Arabidopsis thaliana: one gene and its partners. The protein of the gene in region 1 interacts with the protein of each later gene in a pairwise test. Each region holds a gene or a part of one and is shown in the gene's direction. Other genes may lie near its edges.

What was found.
Region 2: the proteins of CUL4 (region 1) and RBX1 interact in binary tests that used the Arabidopsis thaliana proteins (3 or more experiments, as listed by UniProt).
Region 3: the proteins of CUL4 (region 1) and CAND1 interact in a two-hybrid assay, tested with the Arabidopsis thaliana proteins (one study listed by BioGRID).
Region 4: the proteins of CUL4 (region 1) and FUS9 interact in binary tests that used the Arabidopsis thaliana proteins (3 or more experiments, as listed by UniProt).

The regions. Positions count from the first base shown.
Region 1 is NC_003076.8:18,730,858-18,738,559, reverse strand, and holds CUL4 (cullin4), read left to right. Parts: upstream 1-1,744; 5' UTR 1,745-1,906; coding exon 1,907-2,153; intron 2,154-2,633; coding exon 2,634-2,749; intron 2,750-2,834; coding exon 2,835-3,181; intron 3,182-3,458; coding exon 3,459-3,639; intron 3,640-3,729; coding exon 3,730-3,852; intron 3,853-3,940; coding exon 3,941-4,228; intron 4,229-4,597; coding exon 4,598-4,723; intron 4,724-4,861; coding exon 4,862-4,963; intron 4,964-5,064; coding exon 5,065-5,118; intron 5,119-5,366; coding exon 5,367-5,473; intron 5,474-5,569; coding exon 5,570-5,630; intron 5,631-5,723; coding exon 5,724-5,855; intron 5,856-5,953; coding exon 5,954-6,091; intron 6,092-6,207; coding exon 6,208-6,288; intron 6,289-6,399; coding exon 6,400-6,480; intron 6,481-6,605; coding exon 6,606-6,686; intron 6,687-6,877; coding exon 6,878-6,991; 3' UTR 6,992-7,189; downstream 7,190-7,702. UniProt on the Arabidopsis thaliana protein: Component of the CUL4-RBX1-CDD (COP10-DDB1a-DET1) E3 ubiquitin-protein ligase complex which mediates the ubiquitination and subsequent proteasomal degradation of target proteins. Participates in the CDD complex to light-mediated control of development.
Region 2 is NC_003076.8:6,956,144-6,960,120, reverse strand, and holds RBX1 (RING-box 1), read left to right. Parts: upstream 1-1,809; 5' UTR 1,810-1,899; coding exon 1,900-2,035; coding exon of another isoform or gene 2,036-2,089; intron 2,090-2,162; coding exon 2,163-2,213; intron 2,214-2,307; coding exon 2,308-2,367; intron 2,368-2,780; coding exon 2,781-2,852; intron 2,853-3,025; coding exon 3,026-3,097; intron 3,098-3,178; coding exon 3,179-3,216; 3' UTR 3,217-3,461; downstream 3,462-3,977. Other genes in the region: AT5G20580 (TMEM192 family protein), read left to right, coding at 46-130, 312-371, 525-584, 749-841, 1,026-1,088, 1,242-1,331; AT5G20560 (Glycosyl hydrolase superfamily protein), read right to left, coding at 3,740-3,977. UniProt on the Arabidopsis thaliana protein: Component of the SCF (SKP1-CUL1-F-box protein) E3 ubiquitin ligase complex, which mediates the ubiquitination and subsequent proteasomal degradation of target proteins.
Region 3 is NC_003071.7:688,169-692,815, forward strand, and holds the start of CAND1 (cullin-associated and neddylation dissociated), read left to right. Parts: upstream 1-1,615; 5' UTR 1,616-1,767; intron 1,768-2,143; 5' UTR 2,144-2,176; coding exon 2,177-2,212; intron 2,213-2,294; coding exon 2,295-2,470; intron 2,471-2,570; coding exon 2,571-2,778; intron 2,779-3,067; coding exon 3,068-3,233; intron 3,234-3,511; coding exon 3,512-3,641; intron 3,642-3,826; coding exon 3,827-3,941; intron 3,942-4,153; coding exon 4,154-4,311; intron 4,312-4,398; coding exon 4,399-4,522; intron 4,523-4,647. Other genes in the region: AT2G02550 (PIN domain-like family protein), read left to right, coding at 429-596. UniProt on the Arabidopsis thaliana protein: Key assembly factor of SCF (SKP1-CUL1-F-box protein) E3 ubiquitin ligase complexes that promotes the exchange of the substrate-recognition F-box subunit in SCF complexes, thereby playing a key role in the cellular repertoire of SCF complexes.
Region 4 is NC_003074.8:4,422,724-4,426,568, reverse strand, and holds FUS9 (Ubiquitin-conjugating enzyme family protein), read left to right. Parts: upstream 1-1,674; 5' UTR 1,675-1,771; coding exon 1,772-2,000; intron 2,001-2,100; coding exon 2,101-2,174; intron 2,175-2,531; coding exon 2,532-2,679; coding exon of another isoform or gene 2,680-2,741; exon of another isoform or gene 2,742-2,902; coding exon 2,903-3,000; 3' UTR 3,001-3,332; downstream 3,333-3,845. Other genes in the region: AT3G13560 (O-Glycosyl hydrolases family 17 protein), read left to right, coding at 1-696, 801-828, 914-1,085. UniProt on the Arabidopsis thaliana protein: Component of light signal transduction machinery. Involved in repression of photomorphogenesis in darkness by participating in the CDD complex, a complex probably required to regulate the activity of ubiquitin conjugating enzymes (E2s).

The DNA.
Region 1 (7,702 bases):
AACAGTCCACAACAATTTTATTTTTACTTTTATATCTCAGCATGACTACCGATTAGAATATATAAATGGTGAAACAGAAGCGGTTTTAATCCGCAATCTTATTAATCAGTGTTCCATGTACAAACCATTCAAAGCTAAAATTGTTCAATTGTTTGTTTTATGTCAAGCTTACAATTTTTCAATAACTCCTCATTTTCACATGTTTGCATGTGAAAATATTGATCCAACGATCCAAGAGACTTACAATTTGCTATTATTAGTATCAATTGGGATTAATTGAGAAATTCTATAGTCTTGAAACATGAATAAAGAAAAAATAAATGTGTTGACATGTTAATGAGGGATTAAAGAAATAAAAAAAAATTATTAGTAAGTTTAAGCGAGGTGAGAATGTAATGAACACCATTTTGTATTAGTAATTATACAATTCCATAGGCTAATCAACATGTAATAAAAAGTTTTAAGACCATGCAGTCGTTGAGGCTGTGGCTGTAATAATATTCATCCTTGCAATTGCGACTTAAAAACCAGCCATGTTTTTTGGCCCAAGAACCCTCACTAATCAAAACACATTCGCACAACAGCACAAGTTATATGAGTTCGCCAATTGGTACGTCTCGGTAACACTTGTAAGACCATCTCCATCGGAATATCTGATTGAGATACTCATCAATTAAATAATAATTAAAAAGAGAAAAAGTATGAGAGAAGAAGAGAAAAGTGGAGAAACTGGCAAGAGAGACTATTCTCAGCATTTATTGAGAGTTGTCATTCAATTAATAGTTCATTTACTTCAAACTAATTAAAATATATTAATTTGATTAAAATATTAATTTATTTACTTTTTGAGATACTCTCTACCACTTTTGCCGATGGAGATGCTCTAACAATCTCATCTCGTCTCTTATCTGCTTGATAGGCTTCGGTTAAACCTTTGTAATCAGGCCCAAAGTATTAACTCCTGTAAATAATTTGATAAGCCCATATTTTGTAATCAGAACCAAACCCTAAACCGGAAGTCCAAAAACCCTGTGGAGCAGCAAGTCAACACGCCCCACATTGGCTAATCCATGACATCGATCATATTATATTTATTCATATTGTCAAGTGATGATTCTTCGTTCATGTCTTTTAACATCACACAATTTTCTGCCTGAAATTACCGACTGCTAAAAGTATTTAATCATCTCTATTTTTATCTCCATTCTCCACGTTATAGGTGAGTCTATTTTATAGGCATTTTATTCTAATATATTCTTTTAAAATAGTTTTTTTTAAAAAATAAAAGAAATATATGGAAAAAAAATCAACTCAATTTTCTTTAAAATAAAAATAAAAATATATATCAAAAATGATCTAAATATCAAGCATCGACTCGTGTGATCGATTCTTTATTCTTTAAATCGTAAAATGACTTAATAAAAATTCGACTCTAAAAATATACAATAGATATGATTTATCAGTTGTCAAAAACTAAAAATAAAAAGTAGTTAAAATTTAAAAGTAGTTATAAAAAATAACCATACAAAACAGGCAACAATTGATTATTATTTTTTATTTTTTTGTTTTTCACTTTTGTGATTAGTAACCATTAAAACAACGCACATCTAATCATTGCGGTATATGTCTATTTTTATCAATAATATTTTTTTTATCATATAGTAATTATGATTTATGAATGTATAAATAAAATAATTCTGATTTTATTCAGAGTATATAAATAAACAAAAAATCTTCATTTCTCGGGTCGGGTCTAAATCGCGAGTTTTCGCGTAGGTTTGAGCAAAAAAAAAAAGAGAGAGAGTGCACAGTGCGCTTTTGGTAGAGAGAAAGGGTTGTTATTATTTAGGATTGATGTCTTCTTCTTCCTCTTCGTGATTCTCTCACACAATTTTCACCCATTTTCATGTCTCTTCCTACCAAACGCTCTACTTTCTCCGCCGCTTCTGCCTCCGACGACTCTTCTTACTCTTCTCCTCCGATGAAAAAGGCCAAAAACGACCTCCACCATTCCCCTCAACACCCTAATACCGCCGACAAGGTTGTTGGCTTTCATATGGAGGAAGATCCAACTCCCGCCGCCGCTAATCTCTCTCGGAAGAAAGCTACACTTCCGCAACCTACTAAGAAGTTTGTAATCAAGCTCAATAAAGGTTTCGCTCGATTTCGATTTCTTTCATCTTTACGATTTTGATCGTAATCTTAGGATTTGATTTGGGTCTTTTACTCTACTGTGCAATTGATGCTCTGGATTGATTTGAAATGATACAATTGTTAAGGTTCGTGATTTTTAGGGTTTTCATTGGCTTGCGATTGATGGAAGTTTTGTGTGAGTTTTGATGTTAAATTACAGTGGAAAATTGAGTGTGACTGTTGAATTTTGATGTGAATGAGTGATTTGGGTTTTTGTATTTCTTCTAAGTTGGAATCTCTTTGTCTAGCCTGATCTAGGTACTTAAGATCCGGAATCTTTGTTGTGCACAATCTAGTTGGCTTAGCTCTCACCAAACCTAATTTGTGCCATTAGAAAACATCTTGAGAATCATCTTTACTGTGACTGGCTAGCAAATTGAAGATAAAAGTGTTTTCATAATTAGGGTTCTGATTGTACCATTTGTATTATATATGTGAAGCCAAACCAACTCTACCAACAAACTTTGAGGAGAATACATGGGAGAAGTTGCAGTCAGCTATCAGAGCTATATTCCTCAAAAAAAAAATTTCGTTTGACCTCGAGAGCCTTTACCAGGTTAGGTTACGTGCAAATTTACTTACTTCCTTTCTTATTCGTATGTGTAAATGTCGTGCTGATGAGATTGTGATTGTTTTTTCAGGCTGTTGATAACCTTTGCTTGCATAAGTTGGATGGAAAGCTTTATGACCAGATTGAGAAGGAGTGTGAAGAACACATCTCTGCAGCTTTGCAATCTTTAGTTGGGCAGAACACTGATCTGACTGTTTTCTTGTCACGTGTTGAGAAATGCTGGCAAGACTTTTGTGACCAGATGCTCATGATTCGTAGTATAGCCTTGACTCTGGATAGGAAGTATGTGATACAGAATCCAAATGTACGTTCATTATGGGAGATGGGTTTGCAGCTTTTCCGGAAGCATCTTTCTCTGGCCCCTGAAGTTGAGCAGAGGACGGTTAAAGGTCTCTTAAGTATGATTGAAAAAGAAAGGTAAATTTTTAACCTTCTGGTCTTCCAAAATTAAACGAGGGTTGATTTATCACATTGAGAATATAATTTCATAAAGCCACTTTACCTCAACTTATTTTTCTGGCTTTTGAGTGAATATGGTAAGTTTGGATGGTCTATGAACTATTCCTGTCTAGCAGTGATAACTTGTTATAGGTAAAATTTCAAGGCAAATCAGGACTAGTGTATGTCATTTATATATTGGATAATGTTTTCATCTGAATCTGCTGAACTTTCTTGCATGATATTGGTCCTGCAGGTTAGCAGAAGCTGTTAATAGGACTCTACTAAGCCATCTTTTGAAGATGTTTACTGCACTGGGAATTTATATGGAAAGCTTTGAGAAACCTTTCCTTGAAGGGACCTCTGAATTTTATGCCGCTGAAGGAATGAAATACATGCAGCAGTCTGACGTTCCGGAGTACCTGAAGCATGTTGAGGTGCCTTGCATGACTTCATATAGTTTCCTTATGATTAGCTGCACTACAGGTTAATAGTCTTTCTAAGGTTTCTACTGGTGATTGGTGCAGGGAAGGTTGCATGAAGAGAATGAGAGATGCATACTCTACATAGATGCAGTAACCAGGAAACCATTGATCACAACTGTTGAAAGGCAACTTCTCGAACGTCATATACTTGTTGTTCTTGAAAAGGTTCCAATCTCCTATTATTCTTGTGTTGGCTTGCATATTATCCAATTTTAGTTTGTCGTAGTCTTACTTTATTTCTGAACATCTTCAGGGTTTTACAACATTAATGGATGGACGTCGTACGGAGGACCTTCAGAGGATGCAAACCTTGTTTTCTAGGGTCAATGCACTTGAGTCTCTGAGGCAGGCGCTAAGTTCATATGTTCGGAAAACTGGGCAGAAGATTGTTATGGATGAAGAGAAAGACAAAGATATGGTACAATCACTGTTGGACTTCAAGGCTTCTCTTGACATAATATGGGAAGAGAGCTTTTACAAGAACGAATCATTTGGTAACACAATCAAAGATTCGTTTGAGCATCTGATTAATCTTCGACAGGTATCAAATAGTGATTTTCTTGATTATTGCCTGAGTCTCTTGCTAATAATTTTACTTTCATGTAAAAGCAACATACTGATTATTGTGGAAATGTCAACCTTAAATTACAATTGTGAAATCGAGAAATTTATATTTTATAATAATCTATAGATTTCGTTACTGATTAAGCACTGTATTGCTATGATTTGGAGACATCTTTGGGCAGTGAATACTATTTTCAAACATAATTTTGAGATCAAGCTTCTTGTGGGCACTGGACCTGATCACAGTAGTGTTGTTTGCTAATATATATCACTTTGGATACCAAATACTCTGATTTAGCAAGCATCCCAAATAATATACATCTTATGCTGATAATCTTTTTTACAGAACCGGCCAGCTGAGCTTATTGCCAAGTTTTTGGACGAGAAACTCCGTGCTGGGAATAAGGGTACTTCTGAAGAAGAATTGGAGAGTGTTCTTGAAAAAGTCTTGGTTTTGTTCAGATTTATCCAGGTTATCTCTAATTTCTTACATTTAGTACTGTGTTTGTCACTGTAAATCACTGCTTCGAGGCCAGTGCATGGTCTGTAAACCAGCTATTTGATCTTCTGGATATCGGTTTTGCTGATGGATTTTTATTATTTATCAAAGGGTAAAGATGTGTTCGAAGCATTTTACAAAAAGGATCTTGCGAAGAGACTCCTGTTGGGAAAGAGTGCTTCAATCGATGCTGAGAAATCCATGATCTCTAAGGTTAAAAACTGATTTATATTCTGGGTGTTTCCCTTTCCCACAATTTGTTTTCTATATCTGTAGTTCTCACCCACTGATCCCAACCTTGGTTTTACCTACAGCTTAAGACTGAGTGTGGTAGCCAGTTTACAAACAAGCTCGAAGGGATGTTCAAGGTATCCTTTCTTCTCCTTCTCTATATTCAAAAAAGATGTTGGTCGTTTAAGTTTTACTAAGGAACAAACTTAATGATCTTATATTTTGTTACGTTTTACGATATACCCCGGTATACATATTCATTGTTAATCCAATCTAAGACAGGATTGGCGGATGATCCTGCTCCATACTTATTTTAATGAACTTGTGTACATTTACAATAATCCTAATGAGCTTGAACTCTCCGTTTTATTGAAATTTTCTCCAGGATATTGAATTGTCAAAGGAAATCAACGAGTCATTCAAACAATCTTCCCAGGCCAGAACAAAACTGCCATCGGGAATTGAGATGAGTGTCCACGTTTTAACAACAGGGTATGTACAATGTATCAATTTTATCCAGGATATAACTGCTGGAATGCGGATATCATGACATATATAAAGCTTGTTAACTTCCCGTCTATAATACAGGTACTGGCCAACATATCCGCCTATGGATGTTAAGCTTCCTCATGAACTAAATGTCTATCAGGTTTTACTAAAAGTTCTTCTTATGTATTTTTTTTTGTTTCCTCGTTGGACGTTTTCTTACAAGCTTTTTCTAAGCTATCTGTATGTTTCGTAGGATATCTTCAAAGAGTTCTATTTAAGCAAGTACAGTGGTAGGAGGTTAATGTGGCAAAATTCATTAGGCCACTGTGTTTTAAAGGCAGATTTCTCCAAAGGTAAAAAGGAGCTGGCTGTTTCCCTGTTTCAGGTCAGTCAAATTTTTTTTCCCCCCCCCCCCCTTTTAAGCTCTTTCCTGTCTTCCCGAGGTTACAGTGTTAATCAATTGCTCTTTTCTTTTTGTCTCAGGCTGTTGTGTTAATGTTATTTAACGATGCAATGAAACTTAGCTTTGAAGACATTAAAGATTCCACCAGCATAGAGGACAAGGAGCTGAGGAGGACTTTGCAGTCGCTTGCTTGTGGGAAAGTCCGTGTCCTGCAGAAGGTTTGGCCAAAATCTGGACTCTGTTAACTCTCTTTTCAGCTAATGCAGAAACTGCCGAGATTATGGCTTTGCCTTTTTCCATAAGGATAAGCCTTATTGTGTAAATATTTTTGCAGAATCCTAAGGGAAGAGATGTAGAAGACGGTGATGAATTTGAATTTAATGATGAGTTTGCAGCTCCGCTGTATCGCATTAAGGTACGTTGGTTTTTTTCTTGGTCTCTTCACTTAAAGTATCCTAGAATCTTGTGATACTGTTTTGTATGTAGCTTATAGTGAAGCAATTCTTTCTTTTGTTCCTGGGTGCAGGTAAATGCGATCCAGATGAAAGAGACAGTAGAGGAGAACACAAGTACAACGGAAAGAGTATTCCAGGACCGACAATACCAGGTTGGTTTCTGCTCTCCATTTTCCTTTACGATACTAATTTCTGAAATCGTTCTTACAACTTTGGCTTCTTAAACAAGAAAAGATTTTGACAAAATGGTTTTCCCCATCACACCCTTCTCTTACAGATCGATGCAGCCATTGTTCGTATTATGAAGACAAGAAAAGTCTTGAGCCATACTCTTCTAATCACTGAGCTCTTCCAACAGGTAAATTTCACTCCTGCTTGATGATTTTAAAATCCGAAATAACATGTCGGTTTATGAAAAAAGAAAGCATGAAATTCGTTACTAGGTCCAGTCCTATTGGTAATATACTCGTGATGATGATTAGAGTTCTCAGTAGTCTACTAAATTTAATATACCATTGCTATGAATGGATATATGTTTGTGATTTGCAGCTCAAATTCCCGATAAAGCCTGCTGATCTGAAGAAGAGGATTGAGAGCTTGATCGATCGAGAATATTTGGAGAGGGAAAAAAGCAACCCTCAGATATACAATTATCTTGCTTAGAATCTCTTTGGTAAACACACCTTTTGAATATTTTCCTTTTTGTATATTTATTGACAAACAAACGATGACCGAAATTTTCTTATCAGTTTGAAAAAAAAAAAGAACTCTCGATATTCCAATCATCTCTATTCTCGCTGTTCCGCCCGTTCTTATGTACAGCCTTAAGTTCTATTTCTTACTTTGATTCACTTTTCCTCGGTTCTCACTTTTTTTTTTTTTTTGAACATACTTTCTTGGGACTTCTTTGTTTTCAGATTTTTATACAACTTAAAAGATGTTTTTGTTTCCCTACAAAAATAACTGATTTGTTTTAAAAAAATTCAAACTTCCAATAAAGTTCCTAAGATAGGTTATATATCTTCGAGGGTTTTCTATGTGCTGATTCCATTTTGTTTTCGTTTTTGAGTTTTATTTGAATGGAGATAGTTCTTAGAGCTTTTTCTTCGTTTTTAGGCAATTAAATCTTAAGTTTAATCGGATTTTTTTTTACACTACATTATAGGCATTTCTGTTTTTACCACTACCAAATAACTAAAGAAAGAACAGAGAGAATCAAATTGCTTACTTGATGAACGTCCCTAACGACATTTAACTATGGCTGATCAATATTGTACGCAACTGAAAGACAATTGAATAAAATTCATACTACGGTTTGTGAAATAGTTAAATGTATCTACACGTACATTTAAGAAAAATGGAAATATATTGACT
Region 2 (3,977 bases), about 12 Mb from region 1:
TTACAATTCTCAAGTCTTACTTCGTTTTTTTTGCTTGAAACACAGATACCATGAAGCCGGTCGCCTTTCTGATCAACAAATGGCTCTACTGCAATATCAACGCGAGAATCTCCATTATCTCAGTGAAGAGGTGACAATCCATGGAATATTTATCATGAGTACTTCATTTCTGAATCTTGATGCTTGTGATGTTTCTTACTAGTAATTCTAAGTTCAATGCTCTCTCTAGCTCTTCATTGTCTACCCTAATTTTCTGAATTTTCCCATGCTTTCGTTAGAGTGAGTCTCTGACCTCTCTTGTTTTGTTTCAGATTCTGCGTTTGCAGGAGTCCTTAAGTAAATATGAAACGAATGGTAGTAGCACGCCTCAGGTTTGAACTGCTCCATTCTGAATTTTTGACTTCTTTTTATCAGCGTGTACACATTCTAACAACATTCTTAATAAATTTTCTTAAAAGTAATGTATAACTTTTTCCTTCCACTGGGATTTTAATTTTTGCATTTGATAAATGTTAAACTTTCAGGTTGATCTGGCGCATCTTGTGGCAACTCGAGATCAGGAATTACGAACACTATCTGCTGAGGTAAAGCTCGGTTAACAAATGATAAACTTGCAAATTCCCATGGTTAATTTTTCTTTCTCATCTCTCTTTTACCCATTTGGTGGAAAACATATCATAGTTGATTGACATTTCAAGGCTAGTATCCTTGATGTAGCATCTTTAAATGAAAATTGTGTGTCTTGCAGGTGGATCAACTCCATTCAGAGCTTAATCTCGCTCGATCTCTGATCTCTGAGAGAGATAGAGAGATACAACACGTCCGGAATACCAATAATCAGGTTCGAGTCTATCTATAAACATAAGAACATATGAGAACAAAACATACTTTCACAGCATCACATCATGTTTATCATCAACACAGCTTTACCATGAATTGTTTTTGCATCAAACAATTTGCAAGGGCTACACATTTTTTCTGATCCCTGAACTCATCATCTTTTGTTTTTGAAACTCCTGAAACAGTATGTAGCAGAAAATGAAAGGTTAAGAGCTATTCTTGGAGAATGGAGTATGCGAGCTGCAAAGGTACAATCTTCTCTTCTCTCTCTCTCTCTTCATTGTATGTTTTAGAGATGCAGCAATATGATAGTGAAAAATCTTAAGCCAATATCGAGTTTATCGAATTCAAACCCTTTTGTTTACTATGAGAGGCTAAACCAAAACCAACGGATTGTGTAGCTTGAACGAGCTCTGGAGGTGGAGAGAATATCAAATATTGAACTGCGGAAGAAAGTTTCAGCTCTCAGAGACCAGAGGCAGGTGGCATGAAGCATATACATCATCTAACTATATGCAACTCTTATGGCTTGTAGAAAAATATCTTGACACTATTTTCTAACATCTTGATGCATTGAATACGCTAAGCTTTTATGATGTAATGATTTTCCAGTTAATTTGAACTAAGCGTATGTAATGATTAGTTAATTAGTCATATAGTTATTGTAAATCTTCTGGGAATAGTTAGAAAAAAATATATATATATGTTTTTTTTATTATATAAAATAGATATTTTCCGTAATCTTTTTGCTTAAAAATATTTAATTTATCAATTAAATAAATAAAAATCGTTGGGATAATAAAGGAAAAATTAAAATATTTATGTAAATCGTAGGATGAGTAAGATTAAAAAAAGGAAACCTTAAACCGAATTATGGAAATTTACGGGAATCTAATTCCGACGAAAGCCCACTATACAGGCAAAGCCCAAAGCTGCTTTATATATCTCTCTTCTTCTTCCTCTACAATCTCTCTCTACAACAAAATCAGCGACAGCTCAAACGTTGATATTTTTCTCCGGCTTTTCTAGGGTTTAAATTTTCTTTCCGATCAGAGATTAATGGCGACTCTAGACTCCGACGTTACCATGATTCCTGCCGGAGAAGCCTCCAGCAGCGTAGCCGCGTCGTCTTCCAACAAGAAAGCTAAGCGATTCGAAATTAAGAAGTGGAGCGCCGTTGCTCTCTGGGCTTGGGGTAACCTCGAAAATCCTTATACACTATCTTCAATTGGTCTTTCGATGTTTCGATGTTTGTGTTACGATGTTAATTTTTGGTTAGGTTAAGAGTTTTATTGATTGATTGATCTTTGTTTTGGTTGCAGATATCGTTGTTGACAACTGTGCGATCTGCAGAAACCACATCATGGATCTTTGTAAGTCTTAAAACAATCGATTGATTTTGGAATTTGTAACGATGATGTTGAATGTTTATGCTTATTTCGTTTTTGTGTTTTGGTTTGTTGTTAGGTATCGAGTGTCAGGCTAATCAGGCCAGTGCCACAAGTGAAGAGTGCACTGTAGCTTGGGGTAAGCATTTTTCTTCTTCTATGATCATGATCTCAATCGTTGCTTTTTGTTTGGAAACTTGATTTGGTTTATAATTGTAGCTATCGTAATTGTGAATCTAGAAACACAAAACTGTATGCGAAAGTGTTGTGTGAAACAATTTTAGTATCTCTGAGTGCGTGTTTTAAAACTTGACATTGAATTTTACTTATGTGGTAGTATCACTCTGATAGATGTCTTTGCTTTATTTGAGAGCAGACCCTGTTCCTTGTTTTGCAGCAATCTAGATTGGTCGATGAGTAGTACAGTTGATTAGATTTATGGAGTTTTAAAGATTTTCTGAGAGAGAGAGAGACCAAATTGTAGTTATTGTGTTTACATGCTTTCATAGTCTTGCAGTTGATTGTACGATTGATGATGAATTAAAAACTCAGAGGACGACCAAAATAACTGCAATAAGTATTTCTGTATTCTTGATTGCTCAATGAAAGATGACCACTTGGAGGGTGAATCTTGTTAGCTAGGAAGTATTAGAGAAAGTAGGAAGTATTCCTTTAAGATGTATGTGATTGTGTGATGACCTTTTCGAATCTTTTTTCTATAATGTGACAACTCAAGTGGATATACATAAATTATTTAGTGCCTTCCCTAACGAAAGATACTCAATATGTACTTGCAGGGGTTTGCAATCACGCCTTCCACTTTCACTGCATCAGCAGATGGCTAAAGACTCGTCAAGTTTGTCCATTGGGTATGTGTTTCTTGGTTTTAAGCTTCTTGACTAGTATGCAGTTTTTGTTTGTTTGCTAATATTGCTGAGTTGTTTCAACAGATAACAGTGAGTGGGAGTTTCAGAAATATGGTCACTAAATCAACAAATGGTTCCAGCAAGCATGTGTCTAATCGTGAAGACATCAGGTTCATTTGGTTACCACCGCATATGATAACTAAAGATTGTTCAAGTTTTTGCCCTTTTTTTGGTACTGTATTTTACAATTTGTGGAAACAGAGATTTACTGTTCAGTGTTCACTAAACCTATTATGGTTGTGCTTTGGGTGACGTCTTTGATTTCAAAATTAAAAAGTAAAAATCCTGCAAAGAGTTTTTTACTCGTAAAAAAACATAGGAGCTGGGTACCAAACGCTCTTTTGATCCTCAATTGTGTTTTCCTTCAATTTAGTAGTTCCAAATACTAAAGTGAAATTTCTAATAAGGCTAACTCGAAACCCACTTAGATTATAAACCATAAGTTTTATTAAATGGGTCTTTCAACCCCTAAACAAACAATACTAGAGCATTATTTTGACAACACAGATTCTTAAGAGAAACAGTAAAAACTGACCACTTGAACACAACATCGAGGATCAGAAGAGCGTGTACATGGGCGTCGTCTCAGTAAGGATCGTATAACCCAAAATGCTGATAGATTCCAACTGGCTTCTGGTTCTCATTGTACGTCTCAAATATATACGCATCAATTCTACTATTTGGCCTCTTAGGCGTTCCTTTACCACTTGCAACATGCTTCACAAAGTTACCAATGTACGTATATTGAAGAGCCGGTGTCGTCATGCCTCCATTCCCGGCAGAGGGCCACCCGGTCTCCGACACCACCAAAGGTAAACCTTTC
Region 3 (4,647 bases), on another chromosome or scaffold:
TTGAATTGCTTGAACTCGAAATGATAGACTTATTGAAGCGGTTTCATAGTAGCAAGAAAAATAAAGACAACGAAAAAGAAACTAAAGAAGAAGCAAAATCTTACGATTTTTCAGAATTCACAGACGATAATTTTCTGGAGATGTGCATTCTTTGCGATTGTGACTATTTTAAATGGCCATTAACGGAGGGATCCGAAAGAGCATATGAAATAATTGGTACTAAAACTATACGTGGTAGAGAGGTACTTTTTACTTGGTTTAGTTCAAAATAGTAGTATACTATACATTTAGATTTTGTATTTGCATGTATGATGACATGATGTGTGTTATTCATTTTCTTTCAGGTAATAGAGGAACTACTAGAGGACAGCACTGACCTAACTTCTCATCTGAAAAAATTCATAATTTTGTTGCTTTTCAAATATTAGTATGTCTATAATCAAGTAATTGAAGAGCTTCAACACTTGAATGTGCCTGAGGTGTCTAACCTTCCATTCTTGCGTGACCGTGAGTCTGGCGATGAATTTGTCATTCGAAAGTATGAAGATTCTACGGGCACATATTTGTCAACAACTAAGACTAAGGAAATAGCATAAGGAAGACTTAATCCTGAAACCCACGAAAAATTTACACACGTGGAAGTGGAAGAAACAGATGACGAAGAAACTACTTAGACAAAAGTATCTAATAATTTGAATTTCGAAGTTCTAGTTCAAAATAAAGGAAGTCTAATTTCGACAAAAAATCTCACATCTATACCATATTTTACGGTTTTAGTTTTTTTTAGTCGTTAGCAACAATGACAATCAGTTATATTTTGTTAACTTTATAATCGTTAGCGATGACTATCGACAATGAAATCATGTTTATTTGGTAGTCGTTGGGTCGGGAACATTTAACAAATGATTTTGATTCAATTTTTTTTTTTTCTTATAAACCTTATCGGCTGATCTGGTTAGCCCTAGTAAAAACACACCGAAATGTTTTCGAGTGGACTTCTTCCCGAAAAACCACCATACTGTCTGTCTGTCACGAGTTTGAAATGCTTTCTGACTAATGCCAGGGGGTAGTCAGGCGGCCGCCTACATTTCTAATTACCAAGTAAACCAATTAAACCAAGACCCAACTTATACACTTACCAACTTTCAAGGAGAATCGAACTCGGGTCTAAGAGTTTCATCCTTCCCAAAGCTTCCCCTACCACTAAACCACATATACTTGGCCTAGGTTGAAAACTTTCAGTGATACAATTTTTTACTTGCTAATCGTTCAAAAATATTGACCATAAATTGTCGATGAACCAATGGCTAACACTATTTAGTTGGTTGGTCGCAATCGCATAGCATGTCCCTGACACAAAAAAAGCAAACAAAAAAAGAACTACTTGGATCAAACAAAGAAACCCATGCTTGGGCTCAGACTGAAAACAAAGTAATTGGGCCAAACCCATTTAGTATTAACCGACTAATCAAGTCCAACAATGTACAGCATGAAATAAACGCTACCCATTAACCGACTCAAATCGCACCAAGTCAGGCCCAATTAATCCTACACAGGCCCATTTAGAAGAAAGTTAACTTCCTCCTTAAGAAGAGAGAAGGGCTAAAAATCAAGCTTTCACGAGTACGGAAATTTACAGTATCTCCTCCATCTTTTTTTACTTTCCTCAGAGCTCTCTCCTCTCCGCAACTTCCACCACCACCAAATCGGAACTCTCGGCGTTCTACTCCGTCTCCGGCGTTACCTCCGTCGATTTCATCTTCTCAGGTTACTTAGGGTTACCTCTTTTTTGCTTTTTGATCGATAAAGTGTGATGATGTCTAGCGTTAACTCTTTTCGTCTTCGTAGTCGTAGTCTTAGGGTTTTGGTGGCGACGATACTTTGATTTATCAAACCGAACTTCTTCTTTGTGATCTTCGATGAATCAAAAGTTTTCTAAGGGATATTAATTAGGTTTTGTTACCGGCGATAATTAATCCATCTTCGATGCTTCTTCTTTACACTTCTGACTTTGTTTCTGATGTTTTAACCTCTGTGGAGAGCTTGATAGAGTGACATTGCTCTGACTAAGCGTTTTAGTTCAACGCATGGTTGATTCTCTTTTTACTAAGTAATGAATTTTGAGATCCTTGTTTGATTGCAGTTGGAAGGAGTGAATTGAGAAGGTCGGGCCAATATGGCGAACTTACAAGTTTCTGGGATACTCGAAAAGGTCTTTTCATCATCTGTTTCTAATTAAGCTTAATTTTGTTTTTGAGTATAGTCACCTTTTCTCATTGCTGTATTTACTATAGTTTCAGATGACGGGTAAAGATAAAGATTACAGATACATGGCAACCTCTGATTTGCTTAATGAGTTGAATAAGGATTCCTTTAAAATCGACCTGGACTTGGAGGTGAGATTGTCGAGTATCATATTGCAACAGCTCGATGATGTGGCTGGTGATGTTTCTGGATTGGCTGTTAAATGGTTAGCTTTCTGCTCTTAGCAACTTATGACCTAAGCTGATGTTATACTTTTACATTTAGCTGATCTATCGTCGACCTTTGATGTTATGATTTTGTTCCAGTCTTGCTCCATTGGTGAAGAAGGTTGGAGAAGAACGAATTGTTGAAATGACCAACAAGTTATGTGATAAACTGCTGCATGGGAAAGACCAGCATCGTGATACCGCAAGCATAGCTCTCAGGACTGTTGTCGCTCAAATTGCTCCTACGCTTGCTCCATCTATTCTTGTTACTCTAACACCACAAATGATAGGAGGAATAAGTGGCCAGGTTAGTTGTTGGGAGGTCTATTCCTTATTATTTCGATTGCATATGCGACAGTGCTTAGGGTCGTCCTAGACAATTTCGGATCCCATCAAAATCATATTGATTGACATCTATTGGAAAATTAGTTGATTTTACGTTTTAAGTTTTATTGGATCTAATACAGTTAAAGAACTCTGTCTGAAAAACTCTTAGTAGACCAGAGCACAGTATATGCATATAATTATTTGTCTACTCTAAGGTTCTATCATCTTATTTTACAAGTAACTAATTTTCTGCGTATTTACTGCTGAAGGGAATGAGCTCAGGGATCAAGTGTGAATGTCTTGAGATCATGTGTGATGTTGTTCAAAAATATGGAAGTTTAATGACGGATGATCACGAGAAGCTATTGAATACATTGTTATTGCAATTGGGCTGTAACCAAGCCACAGTCAGGAAGAAGACTGTTACATGCATTGGTAAGTTCATAAAATTGAGTCAATATGATTGCTGGGTACTGTCGGTACTAATGTCAATATTTAGCTAATTTGAAACCAACTTTAATCTGCCGAGACTTGAGTGGTAGCTTTCCTTATCTATATTAGAAATATGGTTTTCAGCTGTTTGCGTCAATTCTTGTGAAACCGATGCTAGTTCAAATGATATATTCAATGTCATTTTTTTCCTAGTCGTATATAGAACTCTTAATTCGATGGTATATAGCCTCTTCTAAGTTCAAAATTTTGTGTGGTGTCAGCTTCTCTTGCTTCCAGTCTGTCTGATGATTTGCTCGCGAAGGCGACTGTTGAAGTTGTGAAAAATCTAAGTAACAGGAATGCAAAATCGGAGATTACACGTACCAATATTCAAATGATTGGAGCTTTATGGTACTTCCTATCTTCCTTCTTATCGGCTTGTTATATATCTTTAACTTCTTACCATACGTTACTGTAGTGTTGTAGTATGCTTCGGTTAGTTGTACTTGTGCTACCTATTTATTGATTGGGATGAATGGTTATCTACGACTAGGCTTGCCATGGTTGTAATGCTATTTAATGCGTTTTTGTTTCAGCCGTGCTGTTGGTTACCGGTTTGGCACTCATCTAGGTAACACTGTGCCAGTATTAATCAATTACTGCACTAGCGCTTCAGAAAATGACGAGGAGCTTCGCGAGTATAGCTTACAGGTATCGTGCAAGATTCCCTAATGTTCCTACTTTCTCACTACGCTTGCATTTTTTGTTTTCTCATCTAATTTTTGTAATCAGACAATTACTTAGGCGTGCTTGTAGTCTCTTTTCTTTCCTATGCTATTAAATTGGAATTCTAATCTTAGGTTCAATAAAATTGGTATGAACAATGTAGACGATAACATGTCTGTTCTGAAATTTGACTGCAGGCACTTGAAAGTTTCTTGCTACGATGTCCCAGGGACATCTCACCATATTGTGATGAAATTTTAAATCTTACTTTAGAATATATTAGTTATGACCCGAATTTTACGGACAATATGGAGGAAGATACTGATAATGAGACTCTTGAAGATGAAGAAGATGAGTAAGTTCTGATTTATTCATTGGAACAGTAGCCTAGCTCCTTACGGTGCACCATTATCTCACTGAAATAAGTCTTTCTTTCTCACAGCGAGAGTGCAAATGAGTACACAGATGATGAAGATGCCAGCTGGAAAGTTAGGAGAGCAGCGGCCAAATGCCTAGCAGGATTAATCGTTTCGCGTTCTGAGATGCTCACTAAAGTATATCAAGAGGTATATCTTTTTTAAATGATCAAGCGTATTATCTTTCATGACGGGAGTGTACAAGATTCCCTTACACAAGAGTTTTTCATTCTTTTACCTGTGTTTGATTAAATATGAAACAAGAATCTACTATA
Region 4 (3,845 bases), on another chromosome or scaffold:
CTAATGGGATTTTCCCGCTTGATTACGCTTTGTTCAAGCAGCTTTCTCCGGTGAAGCAGATTGTTGATCCCAACACGCTTTTACATTACAACAGCATGTTTGATGCTATGGTTGATGCTGCTTACTACTCCATGGAAGCTTTGAATTTCTCCAAGATTCCTGTTGTAGTCACGGAAACAGGCTGGCCTTCGTCTGGTGGAAGCGATGAAGCGGCTGCAACAGTCGCTAATGCGGAGACATTCAACACTAACTTGATCAAGAGAGTGCTGAACAACTCAGGTCCTCCTAGTCAACCAGACATACCGATAAACACTTACATCTACGAGCTGTACAATGAAGACAAGCGGTCAGGACCAGTCTCTGAAAGAAACTGGGGGATTTTGTTTCCAAATGGGACCTCGGTTTACCCTCTGAGTTTGAGTGGTGGCTCTAGCTCCGCAGCTCTAAACGGTTCATCGATGTTCTGCGTGGCTAAAGCAGATGCTGATGATGATAAGTTGGTTGACGGTTTGAATTGGGCGTGTGGTCAAGGCCGAGCTAACTGCGCTGCCATTCAACCGGGCCAACCTTGCTACCTCCCTAACGATGTTAAGAGCCATGCTTCTTTTGCTTTCAATGACTATTACCAGAAGATGAAAAGTGCAGGTGGAACTTGTGACTTTGATGGTACGGCTATCACTACGACTAGAGATCCTAGTAAGTTTTTCTCATTTCCTCTGATCTATGTGTTGCAATAATTCTATGTTTTCAAGTTGTTTCCTCAGAGTAAATCTCAAATTCGATGGCTTGTGTGTTTGCAGGCTATAGAACATGTGCATATACGGGAAGGTAACGATACTAAATTTATGTCTTGTTAAGTTTTGAAAATGAAATCTGCTCCTAACTCTTTGAAATCATTTTCCATTTATCTCAGCTTAAACGCAAACGCTACTAATGGAAACTTTCCTCCGGATGCGTTAGGACCCGCAAGTCCATTGGGAGGAAACGCAAACGCACGTATCATCTTTAGCTACCATCTTCCCATATTGGCACCGTTAGCTCTCACTCTACTACAACTGTTGCTTCAGCATGACCGCCTTTTGTAGAACGTTTGCCAAAAAGCGGTTTTGTAGTAACCGGGGAAGTCTACCTGTGGCTTGGATTGGATTTCTTACGGTTACCGGTAGTTACTGTGTACTTTGTTTTTAGTGTAAGTGTAACTAGAGACTAAAGAGGGCTCACAAGTTCCCATTCTTTTTTTTGTCTTCATCTTTGAACTAAAATATTCGAATTAGAGTGATTTAAATTTCATATTCAAATGAATCAGTGCATTGTAGGAGAGTTTACGTAAATCATGTTATTCATAAAAATTGACAGAGTAAATTTGATTATGTTTAAACAAAAATTAAATTGATTTTGGATAATTTCAATTTTCTTTCCAAAATGTGTGCCTTTTTCAAGAACTTTGAATAATCATTTATCAAATTATTAAGGATTCACGTGGTTATAACATGATCACATTACACAAAAGGACAAGAATATTCGATAATTCAACTTAAATAAATTTGGTTGTCAAAATGATTACAAATTTATTGATAGTGATTAGTGAGAGAAAATAAAAATAAAAAATACATGTTACAAAATTAATCTCCACGTCAGCGATTACTTTATTTGTTTAATTGATCGGACAAAAACGCGGCGTTTCGAAATCTTTTCCCGATGGAGTGCGAGCGAAACGATCAAGTGGTGGATTGGATAAGCAGAGAGTATCGGAAGACGACGACGACGGGAGATGATGACACCTGGCGGAAGCGGGAGGTTGAGACCGTTACCGACGGCGATGTACGCCGGATATTCAGGAACGGCGTCGTCTTGGGTAGCGAAGACTTCAGTTTCTGCGTCAGGGAAGAGGATACAGAGGGAGATGGCTGAGCTTAACATTGATCCACCTCCTGATTGCTCAGCTGGTCCAAAAGGAGATAATCTCTACCATTGGATCGCCACCATCATTGGTCCTTCGGGTTTAATTCTGATACTCTCTTTGAATATTTGTAGATAATCCGATTGAAAATTTGTTAGGTTTTCAAGTCTTTGAATTTGGTGTTTATGGAACTTTTGCAGGAACTCCCTATGAAGGAGGGATCTTTTTCCTGGATATAATTTTCCCATCTGATTATCCATTCAAGCCACCTAAGGTATGATCATGGATTCTTTGGTTAACACATTTTGGGAGCTTTACTGATTTAGCTGGTAATGATTTAAGGTTTAGAAGTTTTGATTTCTAATGATGATCTCTTTAGGAAGAACTATTTAGTGAATATCAATGAGTCTTCAACTGCATCACATTGAAACAGAGATCATCTAGTGTCTCAGACTCTCAGTGTCTAGCATATTATGTAGTTTTATTGCTTTCAACATAGTCTTAGGATACATTTTGTAGCAAATTTCTTGAAGTTTTGGGTCTAGTGATAGTCAAGCTATAGGTACTAATCTAGAGCTTGCACTTTTATTACATCTGTCTTTTTGGTTAAGTTGGTGAGGTTGATTTGCAGTTGGTGTTCAAGACTCGGATTTACCATTGCAATGTTGATACTGCGGGAGATTTAAGTGTGAACATTCTAAGAGATAGTTGGAGTCCAGCCCTTACAATCACTAAAGTCTTACAAGCCATCAGATCTATCTTCTTAAAACCTGAACCCTGTAAGTTTCTATTCTACTCTCAGGCTTCAGATCAGACCATTTCAAGTCCTCTGATGAAATGACCAGCTCATGTCAGATCTACCTAAGAGAACGTTTTTAAAAAAAAGTTTGTGATGAGTTTTGGCCAACAAACATAATAGATGTCCGCATCTAACTACTGTATTTAACTTCCATAGTAAATCTCTATTGTTCTTATTCTTTTTGCTTCTTCTTCATCGACCAGATAGTCCAGCTTTACCGGTGATTGCACGGCTCTACTTGACAGATAGAGAAAAGCATGACGAGGTAGCCAAAGAATGGACATTGCGATTTGCCAAGTGAGATCTTCAATACGAGGAAAAGACAACTGATGTATTATAAATACACCTAGTTCTTTGGTTAGTTAATGGTCATCAATGTACATTCATAAAAGTGGAACCACAATGTTAGATGGCCAAGAAAATTGTTTGCTCAGATAATAGGCAACAATGTGAGGTAGGACCAATCCTCAACAACTCCAATTTATTGAAGGTTATACAATTTAGTGTCAAATCTTTTCGTCAAGGACTCGAAAACCAAAGATCATATATGGTCTGAATATAACTGAGGAATTGTTTCTTTTATAAGAAAACAAGAGCATTTTGTTTTGAAACAAGAATAGTAGGCCATAACTTCTAGAGAAAAGCGATTACAGATGAGATAATTAAACTGAAGAGTATTAGTTGGTACCTAACATGTTCCATAATCTTTATTGATTGATTATCTCCAAAAAGAAAGATCAAACTTTCTATTGAAGACACAAGTGAGACTTGAGAGACCAAATCTACCGGTCAATTCTTTTCGTTCTTTTAACCTAACTCTGTTTAACATAATTATCACAAATGGTCAGTACATATCTATCTACGCATGGTATATATAGAGAATATGTAGAACAGCAGTGTTAAAAAAGAGTAACATATTTTGAGTCTCTGCGACTAATATCTTCATATCGGTACGTTGTAATATTTATCCGTTAATTATACGTGTGTTAGATGTGTTAGTGTATATGCAGATGAATATGTCATTTTATGCATCACATGTATATACTCAATTTGTTTATCTTATTTTTTTATTTAATGTTCCCCTTCGTTGGCATCATATATATTTCTCTTGAAGTTTTGAGTAAAACCTCTAGAGATGTTGGAAGA